2 linked regions of the Xenopus tropicalis genome follow. The protein of the gene in region 1 interacts with the protein of each later gene in a biochemical or structural test. Links are inferred from orthologs where the notes say so. Each region holds a gene or a part of one and is shown on either strand. Other genes may lie near its edges. The genes, in order: fga and fam20c.

Region 1 (3,829 bases):
TAGATAATAGATCCTATAAATGTATTTATATTTTTACTTTTTTTACTCTGATTTACCCAAGTTTTATCGCCACCATAAATGTCAAATATATGGCAGTCTGGTGTGTGTAGATCAGTCTGCATGCTTTGTATAACTCACTGATACACTATTGTACTATGTACAGGTATATCAGATTCAAAACTAACATGGCAAGGCACATTTACTATTGCTTGAGCCTCTGGGCTGAGTTTCTTTCCAATTAGCAGGGTTTGAAAAAAATTAAAAAACATGCCACCTAAAACTTGTCTTAAGAAAGAAACTCACTTGCCACTTTATAAGTAATATTTTAAATATGGTACTCAGTAGTTATTGGATCACACCACACGTTTAGCAAATGTGTTTAATTTTTTAATTCATGGTTTATATGGTGTATTTTTCCACTTTAAAGGAGAAGGAAAGGCTAAGTCACTTGGGGGTGCTAAAATGTTAAGCACCCCCAAGTGACTTTAATCGCTTATCTTGTACCCCGGGCTGGTGCCCCTGTTAGGAGAAAACAGCACCAGCCCGGGGCACCTGGAGCGAGCGCTTCCTCCTTCCTGCTTCATTTCGCTGCGACTAACACAATAGGCGCATGCGCAGTAGAGTGAAAAGCCGACCTCTCTGTTTGGCTTTTCACTCTACTGCGCATGCGCACGCTCGCAAAGCAGGAAGGAGGAAGCGCTGCAGCTACACCGGGCTGGTGCTGTTCTCTCTGAACAGGAGCACCAGGCCGGGGTAAAAGGTAAGCGATTCAAGTCACTCGGGGGCAACCCCAAGTGACTTTGCCTTTCCTTCTCCTTTAAGTAAGAGCCAACTGTGTGAGGGTCATGATCAATTATTTCTTCTCCCATATTCAGGCACAAACGTATTCATTTAGCCGTGTAATAAATATAAATGTGATAAGATCAGATAAAGTTGATACTGCCTAGTGTCCTATGAAATCCTACGATCCCATTCAGCAGGACATAACTATTGTCATTTTCACCAGAAAGGAAATAGAAACAGTCCCAAAAAGAAGAATTTGTACATAAATGCACAAAAAAAGTGGCAATACAATACAAACTGCCCCAAAGACACAGGTGTACATAATATTTCGCAGTGTTTTTAGGTATAAATGAACATTTGATTATGACAATTATATATAAAATATATTTAAAATTATTGGACATAAGAAAATGTATTCTGCCACATATAAAAGTAAAAGTCATGATGAGTAAAATACAAATTCAATGCATTTGAGGTTTTTTTTACAGTTTTATTCAATCATGTTTCTTAGATTTACATTTTTAACACATTTTTTAAATAAGTAGACATTATTGTAATTGAAGGACAACTCTTAAGTCACAAATTCGAATTTTGATAAATAAGCCTTCCCACACTCAAAATGTGCGCTAAGCTGATAAAATGATTCTGGTTTACCTATTTTAGAAAGCGATGGAAAGTATAATCAAGTGTCTGAAGACCTCAGAAAGAAAATCGAATATTTGAAGCTGAAAGTTTCCAATCAAGTAGAGAGAATAAAAGCACTTCAGAAAAACATCAGAGATCAGGTGGTGGAAATGAAACGTCTTGAGGTAACCAATAAAATTTATCTATCTATTAATCTATCTATCTATAATCACATCTATCTATCTATCTATCATCTGTTTATCTATCTCCTATCTATCTATCTATCTATCTATCTATCTATCTATCTATCTATCTATCATCTATCTATCTATCTATCATCTATATATCTATCTATCACCTATCTATCTATCTATCTATCTATCTATCTATCTATCTATCATCTGTTTATCTATCTCCTATCTATCTATATATCTATCTATCACCTATCTATCTATCTATCTATCTATCTATCTATCTATCTATCTATCTATCATCTGTTTATCTATCTCCTATCTATCTATATATCTATCTATCACCTATCTATCTATCTATCTATCTATCTATCTATCTATCTATCTATCTATCATCTGTTTATCTATCTCCTATCTATCTATCTATCTATCTATCATCTGTTTATCTATCTCCTATCATCTATCTATCTATCTATCTATCTATCTATCTATCTATCTATCTATCATCTATATATCTATCTATCACCTATCTATCTATCTATCTATCTATCTATCTATCTATCTATCTATCTATCTATCATCTGTTTATCTATCTCCTATCTATCTATCTATCTATCTATCTCTTATCTATCTATCTATCTATCTATCTATCTATCTATCTCCTATCTATCTATATACACACACATATATATAAATAATATACTTTTTTCTGTTTTAATGTGTTTTTAGGTGGATATTGATATAAAAATCCGTGCTTGCAAAGGATCTTGTGCAAAGAACACTGACTACAAAGTGGACCATGACAGCTACAACAACATACAGAAACTACTTTTGCAAGCTGAAACCACTGACTTAAATAGCCAAATGAATGCCATACGAGTGCTTAAAATGAGGCCTATTAAGGACTCTCCTGTAGACTCTCGTTATAGAACACTGGCACTTGGCAAAGACCAAGAAGCAGAGTTCCCAATTTTCAAAGACATTAATCAATATGCATTTGTTTTAGAAGGGACAAAAGACGAGGTAAAAGGCTCATCTATGGGAACCTCATCTGTTGTATTTCCTTCCGGCAGTGGGAAAGATGTAGTATTTCAAGGTTCTAAAATTTATGGCGATGACAAAAGTACACAGTCAGGGACAGTGACAGGGGGAGATCAGTCAACCAAAGTCATCACAGAAAGAACAGTTTCATGCACTAAGACAGTTAAGAGGAGGGTAGTATCCACACCAGAGGGCCCTAAAGAAGAAATCACTGAAACATATAGTGGTGGTCCGGAGTGTGAAAAATTAGGAAAATTAAGCACAGATGACACTTTTCAAGGAGGGTCTGATGGAACTCGTGTTATCCACATTTCTGGAGGTAGTTCTTTAGGGGATATCAGTAAGATTCCTTCCTTTGAAGAGTTTTTAAGTTCATCTGGGAAAAAAACACAAACCAGCCAAACCAGTAGCAGTAGCAGTAGTAGTTCTAAGGTAACTCATGATGTTTTCACTGATTTGGGAGAAGATGAATTTGATGACTTTAGCCATACAGGACTTGATTCACCCAGCTTTACACCCCTCCAAAAAGAAGGCTCGTCAACCATTACAAAGACTGTGGTCTCCAGCAGCAGCAGCAGCAGGGGAAGCAGTAAAGATGGCACTCAGTTTGATATTAAATCTATGAAGAGTGGGCCAGTGTTTACCGACTTTGGCCCTATCCAGCACGATAATAGTGAAGAGGATAGGCCTGATTTCCAGGCCCGCACTGTGAGAAAAGAAATGAAGTTGGTTGGAGATTACACTGGGAAAGGTAAATGAAAGTAAAAGGACAGTGTGAGGTTCCACTTTTAAACCAGGAAAAAAATACACATAATAAAGGCAACCTAGCTTCTTTTAAATCATTTCATGAATTCATATGTTTATCGACCGTAAACACAAAAACAGAAAAGAATACACAGGTAGTTTAGGCAGGTAGAGTCTGGGAATTAGGGTTATATACAACTTACACACTTATTTAGTTTGGCATTTTAATTGATTTAAGGCACATATAGTAGCTATCAAAACATACGTGCACATATTATATTTTCCCATATGATATAATATGCATGCCATTTGGCAAAATTGACATAAAACATATTCTTTGCCTAGCAAAATGTAAACTTAAAGCTAATATTGCTAATATTTTATCACAATAAAATATCAATTACTTCACTTACTCTCACATATATCTTTCAGCAATTGCCAGAATA
Region 2 (4,282 bases), on another chromosome or scaffold:
TCACCCACAACCCACAAAAAAATAACGTTATTGGTAAATGTAACTGAAGTTAAAAGCAGCGTTTACTACTTTCTGTAATAATGTAACAACAGTGAATTCTCCTCCAGCTCTGGTAATCATCTTTATTCTTCTACATTGTTTCAGGAGTCAGAACTAGAAGTGCATGCTGTATCAGTGTTTTCTCAACTCCTTTTCCTCCACATGTGACAGCCTATAACCACTGAGAATTCATAATGAATATATCTTGGAACATTGTTAAAAACTGAATTTTCTTTCATTATTTTGAAAAAATTTTGTGCAAAGGAGCACAGGCCTCTCTTAGCAGTTCCACAGAAGGATTAATTGTATCATATGTGTTTGACATAAACAGCTGGAAAGTATATCTTTATTAGTGATAAACGGGTCAGGGTAAACTCAACCCTAACTGCATAACCTAAGAGTAAACCCATGAGTTGCAGGTCAACCTGCATTTCACTAATCTTTATGGAGTTACTTACCCTTTAAAATCTTAAAACTCTTGAAGTAACCATTTTTATATGTGAAATAGTGATACGAAAATTAGCAAACCTTCTATCTACATAAACTTTTAATTTTTAATTCATTTTAATATAGAATAATATTATTATTGATAATATTATTATTAATATTATTATATTATCTTTACAGTGGCCTCAATGGGAATGGTCCCCGGAAGTCCCCCCCAATATTCCAGAAGCAAAGCAGCAAGCATTCACAGTTAAATCCCAATGTGCAGCCTCCCCTTATTTGTTCATGCTCAGGGCAGGGCAGGGGAGATATTAACCTAATGGTGCTCATAATTCCAGCAAAGAGTGAACACAACCCAGGAACAGCTGCTTTTTAGTTTGCTTATCAGGAGTGAGGAAAGCAATAAATCTTTCTATATACACAGCTTTGCCTTGAGTGCCACCCTATCCCTGCCTGCACCATGATGATGATGATGGTATCCCTGCTATGTGGCTATGAGACATACAGTAGAATTGTTGCAGGAATGATTTGTATAGATCCCTGAGAAGCTGCCGCCCTCTCCTTGCCTTTGCCGGAGCTGCAGACAGACAGAGAGAGAGAGAAAAAAAGCCCCAGGATTTTACTTTTAGCTTGAGGTTTGTCCTGTTCCTATCGCTGTAGCCTTCCTATAGCCAATCTCCTTGTGTGTGACGTGTGGGGGAGGCAGGTTCCAGCGCTTGCACATAATATTTAACACACCCACAGGAGGCTGGAGTTGCTGCGCTGCGAGTAGGGGCAGACTGATGCTTTTTGAACAGAACAGGGGGATTTCACTCTGCACCTGCCAAAGACCTTCCCTTCTGCCTGCTCGCTATCCGCTCTTCTTGCTCCCCGGCCCTCCCCACTGTAAGTGCCCAGGCTTGATAGGAATCAAGGAGACCCATGAATGCCAGCAACACAAGCACCCCCCCAGATCTGCTCTAATCTCTTCCCTGTGTGTGTTGCACTGTTTCAGCAGCTTGTTTTCCAGCCATGCTGAGTGCCAAGCCGGGGCTGCTCCTATGTCTCCTATCCTCTCCTGTGTGACTGCCCTCTCCCTCTCTCTGAATGAGGATTTCTGGATACATTACAGAAGAACCGTCCCAACCCAATGATTCCCAGCTCTGTGCAGAGGCAGCCCTGCAGCTGAAGCCGGGGGTCACTTCAGTGGGGATGCCCAGCAGCTCTATGCCCAGCTCATTCCAACGTTTCGGATTCTTCTCTTTCTCATTTCACTTCTGCTAATTCTCTTCTTCATTTTGTATTATCCATTCCTTTTTAACTTTTAATATTCCCTTTGCCTGCGGACTTGATTGCGATACCATCTTTAGAACCAACAAGGCAAATGGAGACTATTTATAAAGAACGCATTCTCCTTTAGAGCTTGTCGCCGGGGGTTACTCCGTCTACCTGCGCCGCCTTTGGTTTTGGACCTGGTTGTTGGGGGTGGGGGGGTGGATTCTGTATTCATAGAAGGGGAAAATGAAGATGATTCTGGTTCGGAAGTTCAGGGTGCTGATCCTGATGGTGTTCCTGGTGGCCTGCACCCTGCATATCATGATAGATCTCTTGCCAAAGCTGGAGAGGAGATCAGTAAGGAGTGATGGGGAGATGGGGTGCGCCTGCTCTCAGAATCACAATGAGGAGTCCCACCAGCAGGGATGGGGTAAGGTTCGACCCAAGAACACAGGGGAGCCGGGCTGGCCCAACAAGCACACCCTGAGGATCTTACAGGACTTCAGCAGCGACCCCAGCTCCAACCTCACCTCCCATTCATTAGAGAAGCTGAGTGGCACAGTGGACAAAAATGAATCGTTCAGAAAGCTGGAGCAGCAGGAGGGCCCCAGAGACATTGCTGATAAGCAGCTGATCCAGGAAAGGAGTATAAACAAAGCCCATGTTGGCACTGGGCACTCCAGGCTGGCAGCCCTCTTCCAGCACCCCCTGTACAAAAGCTCAGTCCCCCCACTCACAGAGGATGATGTCTTATTTAATGTCAACAGTGATATTAGGTTTAACCCCAAAGCTGCTGAGTCCCAGGACTGGTAGGTCATTTAAAAAAAAATTTATTTATTTTAAAATCGAACCCTGCGGTTCTTTACCTGTATTATACTGTACACTTCTATACCTATGTATTGTTTACTGTATTCCCTCATTGCCTCTGGGAATCCCAGCTATTGCAGGACTACAAGTCCCAGCAGGGAGTGCTGTAGTTTAATAAGAGCAGCAGGCCCCTAAGTTGGATTTAGCCATATGAGCTGTGTCCATATAAACAGGGGGTATAGGACCGTGCACTTACAATCTCATTTTCATTCATTCTGGGTTTCCAAGATAATTTAATTGCTCTATATCACGAGTGGGCATTCCTTACCTGCCTCATTCTCACTAGGCTGGGTTGGCAGGCTTGTCAGAATTGACTGCACAGCCTGCAGGTTTCAAACCCTTGCACTTTATTTGAGCAAACAAAAAGAGCATACATGCATGTATTTGCATAGACTCTTTCCTTATCCTAAACCCCACAGGGGAGTTAATATTTCTTACTAATTCCCCCCATTCCCTAAGAAAAAGGGGGGATACCTGGGCTGCTATTTCAACAAAATGACCATTAATGGTGTAAATTATATATAAATGTATATAAACTTTAAACAAATTCTTTATTGTTTGTAGGTGTACATTTATCTAGTGTATATATAGAAACCAGATAGATAGATAGTGTACTTTCACCCCCTTATACATATAATATACAGACAAGTATACCTGCTGGGCCAGAAGCAATATAATGGAAATAACTAGAAAACATATACCTGGGACCATCTGTTTGTCCCAGGTTTTACACTTAGAATAAGTACAAGTCTAACCTGTATCGGTTTAATTGTCAAGTACTCTTTGCTAAAATAAAGAAAAGAAAAGGTTGTATGTCATTGTAAGGCAAATGGGGGGAGCCGGACTTAATATAATACAACAGCACCCTCTTTCATGCTCAGTGACATTGTGTTGCCCAGAACAGCTGCATTGTTCTTGTCTTTTGGAGACGCTAGATAATTGCAGGATTAAAGACTTAATTAAGGCAGTAAATATATCTTGCATGCAGGGTGCCCCCTTTTCAATAAACAAAAGCCATTTCCTATATTATAGAGGGAACTTAAGGTAGAATATACCTGTATAGGTCATATTAGTGGGTTATATTTTATAATACACTTCTACTTATCATAAAGCACAAGTAATAACAGATGGCAGGTAAATGGAGTAATCAAGTATAATATATATAAATCTGATGCTATCAATGTTATTTTCCCCATTAGATCAGCTAGGCCCAAGGAAACAATGTAACAAGATGTCCAAGGCTTCGATATATTGCAATTAATAATATTAAATGGCTTTATATCGCTGCTGCATTATTACAGCATTACAAAGTCTGTGCTGGGGAAATGCTGGATAAAAAGCATGCTTGTTTAGAATAGATTCACCCACTTGGAATGTTCACCTGTTTCGCCATTACCCAGAATGCATCTGTCAACGCCAAAAAGAGATTGGGGAGCTTTGTGTAATGAAGTCTTTATCTGGCAGAGGCTGAATTGAAAGTCCCATTGCCCCGGGGCAGAGAGAGATAATGGGGTGTGTCACAAGGTACCAAATGAGAAAACAAGCCAAGCATCTCCACTTCTAAATAAAAGTCACCTGATATCATATATTATAGTACAGGCTATTTATGAACACAAAGACCATTAATGCATCACCATTACAAATAGTTTCCTAATGTTAAACTACCACTCCCATT

The links.
Region 2: of the proteins of fga (region 1) and fam20c, one has a biochemical effect on the other in vitro, tested with the Homo sapiens proteins (2 studies listed by IntAct). The link is inferred for Xenopus tropicalis from reciprocal best matches to the Homo sapiens genes FGA and FAM20C.

The regions. Positions count from the first base shown.
Region 1 is NC_030677.2:54,517,002-54,520,830, forward strand, and holds part of fga (fibrinogen alpha chain), read left to right. Parts: intron 1-1,446; coding exon 1,447-1,592; intron 1,593-2,327; coding exon 2,328-3,390; intron 3,391-3,829. UniProt on the Homo sapiens protein: Cleaved by the protease thrombin to yield monomers which, together with fibrinogen beta (FGB) and fibrinogen gamma (FGG), polymerize to form an insoluble fibrin matrix. Fibrin has a major function in hemostasis as one of the primary components of blood clots.
Region 2 is NC_030685.2:27,166,117-27,170,398, forward strand, and holds the start of fam20c (extracellular serine/threonine protein kinase FAM20C), read left to right. Parts: upstream 1-1,209; 5' UTR 1,210-1,986; coding exon 1,987-2,549; intron 2,550-4,282. UniProt on the Homo sapiens protein: Golgi serine/threonine protein kinase that phosphorylates secretory pathway proteins within Ser-x-Glu/pSer motifs and plays a key role in biomineralization of bones and teeth.